3 linked regions of the Cricetulus griseus genome follow. The protein of the gene in region 2 purifies or fractionates together with the protein of the main gene of each other region. This does not show direct contact. Links are inferred from orthologs where the notes say so. Each region holds a gene or a part of one and is shown on either strand. Other genes may lie near its edges.

Evidence for each region.
Region 1: the proteins of Cdk9 (region 2) and Paf1 purify together in Homo sapiens (affinity purification with western blotting; 3 studies listed by BioGRID and IntAct, with this or other methods). This does not show direct contact. The link is inferred for Cricetulus griseus from reciprocal best matches to the Homo sapiens genes CDK9 and PAF1.
Region 3: the proteins of Cdk9 (region 2) and Ddx21 purify together in Homo sapiens (affinity purification with mass spectrometry; 3 studies listed by BioGRID and IntAct, with this or other methods). This does not show direct contact. The link is inferred for Cricetulus griseus from reciprocal best matches to the Homo sapiens genes CDK9 and DDX21.

Annotation. Positions count from the first base shown.
Region 1 is NC_048602.1:7,490,989-7,493,470, forward strand, and holds part of Paf1 (RNA polymerase II-associated factor 1 homolog), read right to left. Parts: intron 2,421-2,482; coding exon 2,299-2,420; intron 2,214-2,298; coding exon 2,147-2,213; intron 2,075-2,146; coding exon 1,973-2,074; intron 1,885-1,972; coding exon 1,779-1,884; intron 1,704-1,778; coding exon 1,635-1,703; intron 1,556-1,634; coding exon 1,452-1,555; intron 835-1,451; coding exon 718-834; intron 634-717; coding exon 505-633; intron 1-504. UniProt on the Homo sapiens protein: Component of the PAF1 complex (PAF1C) which has multiple functions during transcription by RNA polymerase II and is implicated in regulation of development and maintenance of embryonic stem cell pluripotency.
Region 2 is NC_048599.1:144,422,133-144,426,524, forward strand, and holds the start of Cdk9 (cyclin-dependent kinase 9), read right to left. Parts: upstream 2,840-4,392; 5' UTR 2,739-2,839; coding exon 2,647-2,738; intron 2,185-2,646; coding exon 2,103-2,184; intron 799-2,102; coding exon 708-798; intron 461-707; coding exon 294-460; intron 203-293; coding exon 31-202; intron 1-30. UniProt on the Homo sapiens protein: Protein kinase involved in the regulation of transcription.
Region 3 is NW_023276806.1:274,619,008-274,622,656, reverse strand, and holds the end of Ddx21 (nucleolar RNA helicase 2), read right to left. Parts: intron 2,982-3,649; coding exon 2,937-2,981; intron 2,260-2,936; coding exon 2,008-2,259; 3' UTR 160-2,007; downstream 1-159.

The sequences.
Region 1 (2,482 bases), on a different chromosome or scaffold from region 2:
AAACGAGGGATGTATCTTAATAGCAGGGCACTTGCCTAGCATGTGTGAGAAAAATGACCATGTTTATATCCTGTGTTATGTAAAGATTTTTTTTTTTCTGGTTTATGGTATTAGAACCAGAGTCAGGTCAAGCCCACATTCATAAGCAGGCTCCTGCTGCTCTCACAAAGTACATGCAGCAGATCCTTAGGTACATAATGACCTCAGGGTAGTTCTTCTGTGGCCTCAAAAACACAGAGCCAGAAGAATACTATTGGCGCACACCTTTAGTCCCAACACTCAGGAGACAGAGACAGGTGGATCTCTGAGTTTGAGGCCAGCCTGGTCTACAGAGTGAGTTCAAGGTCAGCAGAGACTACAGAGAGAAGCCCTATCTTGAAAAACTAAAAGAGCTACTTCCAGGACAGCCTCCAAAGCCACAGAGAAACTCTTGTCTCAAAAAAAAAAAAAAAAAAAACCCAAAAAGTAAATACAGGGCCAGATTCATAAAACAGTGCTGAGTACCTGGTCTCCAGCTCATTGTAGTAAACCCCATCGCCCTCTCGGAAGATGAAGAAATAGTTCTCCTCATAGCCCTTACTGGCTTTGTTCTTCACATTCCAATTGTATTCCCGAGCGATCTTGTAGTCATACCTGAGGTAGAGGCACAGAGTCAGCCCATTTGCTCCTGAGGAGTAAAGGGTACATATTCTCAATTCCCAAAAACTAAACCCTTACACATCATCTGGTGCATAGTCCATCTCTTCCTCCTGGTCCCGTTTTCGTTTCTTTAGTGTCTCTTCCACAGGCAGAAAATAAGCCACAAACTGGTTCCCTTCCTCATCCATCATGCCCCTGGTTGTGGGGAGAAGAGAGCAAAGAAGTAACAAAGAGGGCAGTGGTGGCGCACACCTTCAATCCCAGGGCTTGGGAGGCAGAGGCAGGTGGATCTCTATGAGTTTGAGGCCAGCCTGGTCTGCAAGTTCCAGGACAGTATCCAAAGCTACAGAGAAACCTTGAGCTAGACAGCCAGAACTGTTCCACAGAGAAACTCTATCTCAAAAAACACGAAAGGGCCGGGCGTTGGTGGCGCACGCCTGTAATCCCAGCACTCCGGAGGCTGAGGCAGGTGGATCTCTGTGAGTTCGAGACCAGCCTGGTCTACAAGAGCTAGTTCCAGGACAGGCTCGCCTCCCTGTCTCCCCACATACCATTGGGATCAATGCGGTAGGTGTCGGGGTTGATGAGATCAATCCAAAGCCACACAGAAACCCTGTCTCGAAACCCCCCCCCCCCAAAAAAAAAAAAACACGAAAGGGAAAAAAACAAAAACAGCTGGGTATGGTGATGCATGCCTGTAAATTGAGGCAAGAGGAATGCCAGGAGTTGGGGGTCAGCCTGGGCAACAGGATCATACCCTATCTCAAATACACCCAAATGGGGGAGAGACAACAAGAACCAGGACCACTGACCTGATCATGGCCTGAGACATCATCTCTAGTGCAGCTGCTCCACTCGTGTCCTTAGGGGCCGGGTCTGAGTCAAAAATGACCTGAGCACAAGGGTTGATCCACATCTGGGAAACAGAAGGACTGAAGTTAGTCTGGACTGGATAGGCATACGGAGTTTGCCCCTGCCTCCCACCCAAGCCTGACCTTGAAATCTGGGAAGACAGGCATGACCTCCACTGGTGTCACTCGGGGCTTGCTGTAATGCTGGGAGATCTGGTAGAACAAAAAGGGTGAGAAACAGGAAAAACCCAAGCCACACTTTTGCTTTTATCCCATTCCCCCAATTACCGATTTCTGGGCATCTTCAAAAGTCTTCTCAATAGCCGTGATCTGGCTGTCCCTGTCTTTGTATATTTCTTCCTCTGTGAACTGCTGCTTCACAGAAACCCCAATCCTAGGAGTGAAGAGAAGGTCATTAGGGGCCTCTGGGCATCTCTAAAGTTTGGCCCCTGCCCTCCCTTTACAACCTGTCTGTCACTTACTTGACCTCAGGCTTCTCATTGGAAATACCGTATCTGTTGAACTCAGTGGAGATATACTCTGTCTTCCGCATCCATGGCACCACCTTCGCATGCTGCTGGGATCTGGAGTAGAAGACCAGGCACCTCAGGATCCCATGCTTGGCAGAGCCCACCCAGTACCCGGCACCACCTCACCTCTTAGAGCTGGTGGGAGCCTGAATTTCCTCTTCCAAAAGCTTCTCATCAGCTGGATCCAGGAGAACTAAGGATTGAGGGCAGGACTGTGAGGGATGCCCAGGCCTGGTCTTTGCTGGCCTACAGCAGACCCTCCCTGTCTCCCCACACACCATTGGGATCAATGCGGTAGGTGTCGGGGTTGATGAGATCAATGGTGACCCCCAGGTCTGGCTCAGTCAGAAGGTCATGTTTGTGCTGTTTCTCCAAGGAAGTTGCTTTGTACTGAACAAACCTGGGTGGGAAAACATGCCTGTTATAATTTCCTGATCCACCCTCACCCCCCACACCCTCCCT
Region 2 (4,392 bases):
TCTCAGGGATGATGGCTCAAGAGTCCTCACCGAGCAACAGCTCTGGGGGCCGGTACCACAATGTCACCACTCGGTTGGTATAGCGGTTGGGCTGGCTGTTCTTGGCTAGGCTGAAGGCACGGGCCAGCCCAAAATCTGCCAGCTTCAAGACCCCATCCCGGGTGATGAGCACGTTGGCCGCCTTCATGTCCCTGTGCAGGATCTGCAGGGAGACACAGGAGAGCTCAGTCAGGTTTACCCATCCACACAGCAGTAAAGGACAGTGGCAACCCCAGTTCCTTCCCAGCCCTCACCTTGTTCCTGTGGATGTAGTAGAGGCCGTTCAGCAGCATCTGCATCACCCTCTTGATCTCAGACAGCGTGAACTTTACTAAGACGTTGCTCAGCAGCCCAGCAAGGTCATGCTCACAGAAGTCAAACACCAGATAGATACTGCCCTTGCAACGGTTATAGGGGGAAGCTGATACAGAATGGGGGGGGAGAGGTCAAAGACCTATACCCACCTAATTTTTTCATAGCCAACTTCCAACCCTCCCACAGATACCCACGAAAAGCACCAACTCCAATGAAGGGAAAAAAAAAAAAAAAGACCAGAGGAAGCAGTGTGGTTAATCTGAGCGGGGAAGAGGCAGTTTAAGCACATCCACCTCAGGGGTGCAAACAGCCTTACTTGGTAAACCTCATTTGCTCACAAGATCCAAACACACCTTTGGTTCGACAAATCTCAATTAGGTTGACCACATTCTCGTGTTTCAGGAGCTGTAGAATCTTGATTTCCCGCAAGGCTGTAATAGGGAACTAAGGAGGAGAAAAAGTGGTTAAAACGAGTGTGCAAAGGACCAAGGAACTGGCTGAGGGTGAGGCTGAGGCTGAAAGGCAAGCAACAGTATGGTTTCTGTGTAATAGTTCCTGTCTGCAATCCAATCCCATTACCCAGGAGTACACACAGCAGGATTACATAGTTGAGATCCTGCCTCGGGAGGTGGGGAGAGAAAAGATTTGCATACTATTACAAGTACACAATATAAAGATTTATAGTAATACAAACGTCTCATTTTACCATCTAGATCAGGTTGGCCTTGAACTTGTTTTGTGAATAATTCTAGTCCTTTAGCCTGAGTCCAGGGATTGTAATAAGAAGCCTATATGCTGGGCTAGGAATTCATTTTAGACAATCCAAACACAGATTTTAAGTCTGTTACTAACACTTGTGGGTTAAGATAAGAAATTTCCTGAAACTGAGATGGCCAATGGCCCTCGCCTTTAATTCCAGCATTTTATAATCCCAGTAGAGGCAGCTGGATCTCTGTGAGTTTGAGGTCAGCTTGCTCCACATAGTGAATTCAAGGGCAGCCAGAGCTAAGCAGATATATCCTACATCAAACAAACAAAACTCATGCAAAGACCCTATTTCAAAAACAAAAAACACTAGCTGGAGGACACAGATTCAATTCTCAGCACCCACATGGTGGTTCGCAACCTTTTTTAGCTCTAGTCCCAAAGGATTCAACACAGCTTTCTGGCCTCCTCAAGCAGCAGGCAAGCTTTTGTACACAGACACGCATGAAAACAAACTACCCAGATTTTGGAGAGGGGCAGCAAAACAGCACCTTGAACTTAGTCACCCTTTCAAAGACCTGTGCACACACTGTCTCTTCACACAGAACAAAAATCAAACGCTAAGCTAAGGATTTTCTTTCTTTTTTTTTTTTTTGGTTTTCAAGACAGGGTTTCTCTGTGTAGCTTTGGAGCCTATCCTGGCACTCACTCTATAGACCAGGCTGGCCTTGAACTCACAGAGATCTGCCTGCCTCTGCCTCCCAGGTGCTGGGATTAAAGGCGTGTGCCACCACACCCGGCGCTAAAGACGTTTGAATTAAAGGCTTGCCTTCTAGAGTCAACCTGCACTGCATGCAAAGTATACGCTCCCTCACGTGGCCTCCGCCAAACTTTGCCACTCAAAACTGAAAGTGGTAAGCCAAATTCCTTGTTACATGGAAAATCGCAGAACACTAGGTATTAACAAAATCTCAGCACCAAAGTCTTTGACGCAGGAATGTGGAAACACAGTTAGGAAGGAATGCCTAGTAAACCATACTCACCCCCTCCTTCTCATTCTCCATCAACACTTTCTTCAGAGCCACCTTCTGGCCCGTCTGACGGTGCTTGGCTTTAAACACTTCCCTGCAGGCACAGAGAAAGACCCGAGAGAACCCGTGAGGCATTTCCGCAGGACCCGCCCCTCCCCCACGCGAACAGGGGCAGCAGGAGGCCAGATACTCGGCTGGGCGCCGCCTGAGACTCCGGTACGCCGCTACTCGGCACCTCGTGGTTTTCGGCCTCCCTCCCAGGCTCCGCGCTCTCCCCGCGGCCCCTGATCCTCCCCCAGGAGTGTCTCTGAGAGATTCCGCTCACATTCTGGGCGCCTCTCGGCAACCCTACCCCACCCCCATCCCGGGCCTCAGGCTCCTCCCCGCTGGTCCGCTCGGTTAGGCCGGGACCGTCTGCGGCTCTGCCTAGCGGCACCAGGCCATAACCAGGGAAAGAGAAGCTTCAGGACCATCTTGGCCCAGGCCCCGGGCGTCCCGACTTCTGCTCTGAAAAGTGCAGGTCCTGGGCTCCCGGCCCCATGCGGCCTACTCTTACCCGAATGTGCCTTGGCCGATCTTGGCAAGTTTTTCGTATTTGGTGACCTCATCGCAAAACGGGCATTCCACTGAGTCGTACTGCTTGGCCATGGCCGCCTCCAGCGCGCCGCCGCCGCCGCCGCCCGCAGCCGCAGCTCCCGCCGCTCCCGGTCCCGCCACACTCCAGGCCCCTCCGCGGCCGCGCCACTTCCGCCTCCAAGGCCACTTCCGGCCTCGAGGTGCCGAGCCTGCCTCTTCCTGTCTCCGCCCGCCGCCAGGCCCCCTGGGACTTGTAGTTCCCGAGAGGCCAGGGGGCGCCTGAGCTGCAGAGGAGCCTCCGCCGCCGCCACTGCCCCCGCCGCCACCGCCGCCGCCGCCGCCAGCGCTGTTAGCGGCTCCGATCGGGGCGCAGGGAGCCGTGGCGCTGGGGCTGGGGCTCGCGGCTGTGCGTCCCGCTGCATTGGCCCGGGCCGCGCTGCTGCCGAAGCTGCTGCCGCTCTGGCTCCCGATCCGGGGCCAGCCGCAGTGCCCTGCTCCTCCTCCTCCGACGGCGCCGCCTCCGCCGGGCTGCGCGGGGCGGCGGGTGGGGAGGAAGGCCTGGGGAGGTGGGGGCGGGAGCTCCCTGTCCAAGCCCGGCCCGGGGCAGCCGGGCAAGGGGTCGAGACGGGAGAGCCGACGAGGAGTCTGCCCGAAAGCCCGGATCGGGGCGCGTTATAAGGGGGGAGGTGCCCGTCCTGGCCTCCCTCCCCTCTGCCCGCCCCCTCCCTCTTCCTCCCACCCTCCGCGGCCGCACCTGCCGCCCGCCGCCGCGCCGCCTCCCGCCCACCCGCTCCCAGTCCAGCGTCCGCCCTCGGCGCGTCACTGCCACAGCCCCTCCTCTGCCTTTGGAGGTGGGGCCCTGCACTAGACACCTGCCTGCGGCGCCCTGCCGCGTGCCTCAGTTTACCCCCCAGTGCCAGCTGCCACGGAATGCCCCTTCTTCCCGGACTGAGAGTGTGCTCCCGGTGAAGCGAAGGCGGGAAGTGCCGAGGGAGCGGCCCGAGGCCCTGGGAAGGGAGAACTGCCCCCGCTGCCACCTCCGTCGTCTCAGCCACCCGCCGTTGACATGGCAACTGACGGCCGCCAGGGGGCGCGGCGACACTGGAGGCGGAGAGCGAACAACGCTCAGGCCTAAACCCTGGATCTTGTGTTGTCTGCGAGGCAGGGATGAGACCCAAGACCCTCCTTCATGGAGCTGCTCTAGAGCTTGTTCGTCCCGGGTCGGTCCTCGCAAAAATAGTTACCATTGATCCAGCACTCCTGCATGCTTTAGAAATGCTGGGCGTTCCGGTTGAATCCTGAACCTATCCTGTGACCAAGGTTTACTAACCCATTTTACAGAAGAAATGGCAACTCAGAAATAGGAGGTTGTCTGCTCAAGGTTGAACAGTGGCAAGGCTGACTTTAGCTATGAAGAGGTTTCTCATGTTTCATTTTTACAGTACACTTGAGGCCCTTTGTTCTTATGCACTGATATCCGCCATTTGCCCTGAGTTCCTTCCAGTCATACCCTCCTCCGCCATCATCTTCCAGGTTCCAGGAGCCTCCAGATGCAAGCCAGCAAAGCGGTGTTCCTAGCTTCTCAATCTGCCCCTCCTTTCCAGCAGCTTCCCTCCCAAGGATGGAGCCTGAGTCCTGCTTCCACTAGCCTAGCTTCTCCCCCTGTCTCACTCCAGCCTGCTCCAGATCACCCTGAAGTCTGATATATCATCCTCTACAGCCTTGA
Region 3 (3,649 bases), on a different chromosome or scaffold from region 2:
CCCTGATCTGCCCGCTTCTACCTCCCCAATGCAATATGCATGGGAGGCAAGCCTCTACAACCTTAGCCCCAGGTTTTACTATATTTTTATACCTAACAGTCATTGTTATAATAAAAATGTCACACTATTTTCAGTTTAGCAAACAAAAGCCACCAAAACTATAAAGCATTAATATCTTTATTATGGCATAATGCAGTACTTTATACAGTAGCAACTCATTTGAATGTAAAAACATTTTATGTACAATGGCAGGAGAAACAATAGACAGCTTGAACATATAATCCAAAAGTCCAGAGTTATTTGAAACTGTAAAATATTTTCTCTGTAGAAAATAGTAAAAAACGATAACATTTTCCAATAACCCTATTTAAGCCAAGTAACAGCTGAATTATACACATAAATAGTTTAGATTCTAGGACATAGAAGAAACCTATATTTGTTCAGAGAGCTATGGTTTACTTATGGTGTGTAAATGGGATTCCTATTCATCTTCTCATTGCTTAGCAGATCATTTTTCTACAGGCTAATCCAAAAAAGGTTTCAGCCCCTCCTTCTGAAAGAACAGCCAGCATGTCCTTTCATCAGCTTGATACGGCATAAATTCTTATCCTAATAGTGAAATGTTTCACTAAAGCATGCCCAGTAATTGGGCAAAAGCAAAACTAATTATAAGATAGTCATCAACCAAGAAAGTATTCAAAAGAACTCCAAGCACAGAGGACAAGAACCATCTATCTGGTCAGAGCTCAAGGGCAAAGCTGAATCTGAAGTGGATTTGGTGATCAGAGCCCTTTGGTGCCAGGTGTTCCATAAGACCCGATAGGTGGCAGTGCTCACACTAACATCAAATTCATCTCATTCAGAAGATCCATCTCAGTTGATCTAAACAACCAGAGAAAATGCAGCAGCGTGTGATTCTGGTTGTCCTTCAAAGCCTGTTGCTTCCCTGTACAGAATCTCTATGAAGGCAAGAGGACCCCACCACATGAACTTCTGTGCTAGGTAGGATGGTTCGCCAGAGGAAGAACACCAGAGAACGTGGGCAGTTATTACTGGGCCAGGTACCATAGAGTTCTTCAATTCCAGCAAATCAACAACTTCAAATGGTGTAGCTTGTCTTAGAATTCTCTAAGCGGTGTTAACTTTTCCATGGAAAAGCAACCCACCAAAACAGATCTTCATTGTGGCTTAAGATCTAGGCCACTGAGAAAATCGTCCCATTTTTACCCTTAAAAACTAGATTGCCCACTGGTAGATACAGTCCCTTGACTCGTGGTCAGCATTCAAAGCAAGCTTCCTCCCTCCTGCCTGCCTCCTCACTTGTGAAGATGAAGAACATTCTTGTGGCTTCTCTGAAACATTCTTTGGTAATACCAGCCAGTCTCCCTCTTCTCTTAATCACTTCTTGATAAATCACTCTTCCAAAAGAAAGGCACAAGCAGATAATACTTATCCAGTCTTATCTCTGCCGAAAAAACCTAGAGACTTCACACACTTGGGACTTAACTTTAAAGACACTGGCTCCCATAAGAATGTTTTATATACACTATCTGAAATAGCTTTGGAAAGCATTGTTCAGTATCAAACCTCAGCAGACACATACAGACACCAGCAGTTGTTTGTCAGGTCAAGTATCAGGGGGAAGAAAAAGCCCTGACTATGTTGTCCTCCAAAGACTGTGGCACCTCTTAATGACTTTCTTTGGAGTTTAGAATTTAGTTGTAGGGCATGTGCATGCTCAGTTCAGGCTCTAGAGCACGCACAACACACAAAGATGAACTTGCAAAGTCAACAAACAAGGACAGGCAGATCCGTGGTTAGCTTTACTTCACTACTTTGGAAAATGCTGCAGTGAATTCCTACCCCTCTTCAAAATGAAGACAGTTGATGATGGTTAGATCAAACAGTTGCAAAGCCTGTCTCTGCAAGGATTGGGGCCCGGGCAGATGATCCAAAAGGAAGGAAGCATTGGGCTCCACAGTGTGAATAGTTTCTTCTAGTCTCTACTCATGGACCAAATGCTTTACTGAAACTCCGCTTCTGGCCTTTGTTGTCACCTCTGAAGTTTCTATTTCCCCCTCTTCCTCCTCGCTGCCCCTGTCCCCTGAAGTTCCTGCTTCCACCCCGCTGTCCTCTAAAGGCACCGCGACTGCCATCCCGCTGACCCCTGCCGCCTCGATATCCTTCCTTGGGTCCCTCCAGCTCCGGCTGCTCCGTGGCCACAGTGAGCTGCCAGCGTCTTGAATCACGCCACTTCTCCTGTGGGTAGAAGGTTTGTTCCATGGTTTTATTAAATTTGGTAAAACTACAAGAAAAACTTATGTTTCCAAGAAACAAGTTGCAAACAGGTGATTAAAAGGCTGCTAGGACAAATAAATAAATAAAAAAAAAGCCGGGCGTTGGTGGTGCACGCCTTTAATCCCAGCACTCGGGAGGCAGATCTCTGTGAGTTCCAGGCCAGCCTGGTCTCCAGAGTGAGTGCCAGGATAGGCTCCAAAGCTACACAGAGAAACTCTGTCTCGAACCCTCCCCCCCCCAAAGCTGCTAGTGGTTCTTTTCCGCCATCTCTCTGATGAGGCAGACAGATCTGTCTTTCCTCCCTCTCTCTCCCTTTCCATGAAAACAAAACAAAAAAGCTAGTATAAGGCCCCAAAGATGTGTGTGGACCTGTGGAGAGGTGGCTCTCACTCTGCAGTCACTGCAGCTGTCTGAGGCACACACTCGTCACAGCAATGCCAAGTGCACAGGAAAGCATTCAGCATAGAGTAGTGGGCCAGACGCTGGGTACAACTACAGGGAGGAGCAAGGCAGGCCAGCAGCAAGGTCACAAAAAAACAGTAAGGCTGTTTGTTCTTTGTGGCCCGCACTGTCACTCTGCTTTCAGAATGAATACTGTATGATCTGGGTCTACCAACACTAAAACAAAAAAGAAATACCTGTATTTCCGTGACTGCTTCAGTGCGGACATCAAAACAAACTCCCTAGAAATCAAAACAGGAAGAGTTAATCCAGCACCAGATACTGCCAAACACAAAGAAATCTACCACGAAACCAGCAGGCACTGATGTTGGATGGAACATGGCTAACATGCTCCTGAAGACAACAGCAGGAGGTGAATGATTCAGGACATGCAAGTGCCTGAGTAGGTATCCTGTGCTAACCCATATTCAGGAGGACACAATGAAAAGCAGAAATTACATTTCTGATTTCTAGTTTTTCATAATTCAGTTTTCTGTGAGAGCATGAGAAAATGTATATAATTTACGCTGTAAGTTCTTTGATAAGCACTTTCCTTATCACTCTGGAAAAGCCACCAACTAGCACAGTACCAAATTACTACTATAATGCAGTTTGAGCTACACACCTCCCCACCCACCCACAGGCACAGATATCAGGCAGGCGCTTAAGGGCCCTAAAATTTGTGGGCTTCTTCTCCATGCATGGGGAACTCCAGGAACACTGGGACATTCAGGTATCTAGAGAACTTTTGCCCTTGAGTAGGCCTCAGGGACTAACGCCTTCATTGTAAGCACTCAAGAGGGAAGGAAAATTCAACAGGGCGAATATTATGCCCTAAGAACTCTGTCATACAGGTTAAGAACTCATCTAATTGTGTATTGAACCTGGGAGTCTTCACCGAGAGTCAAAG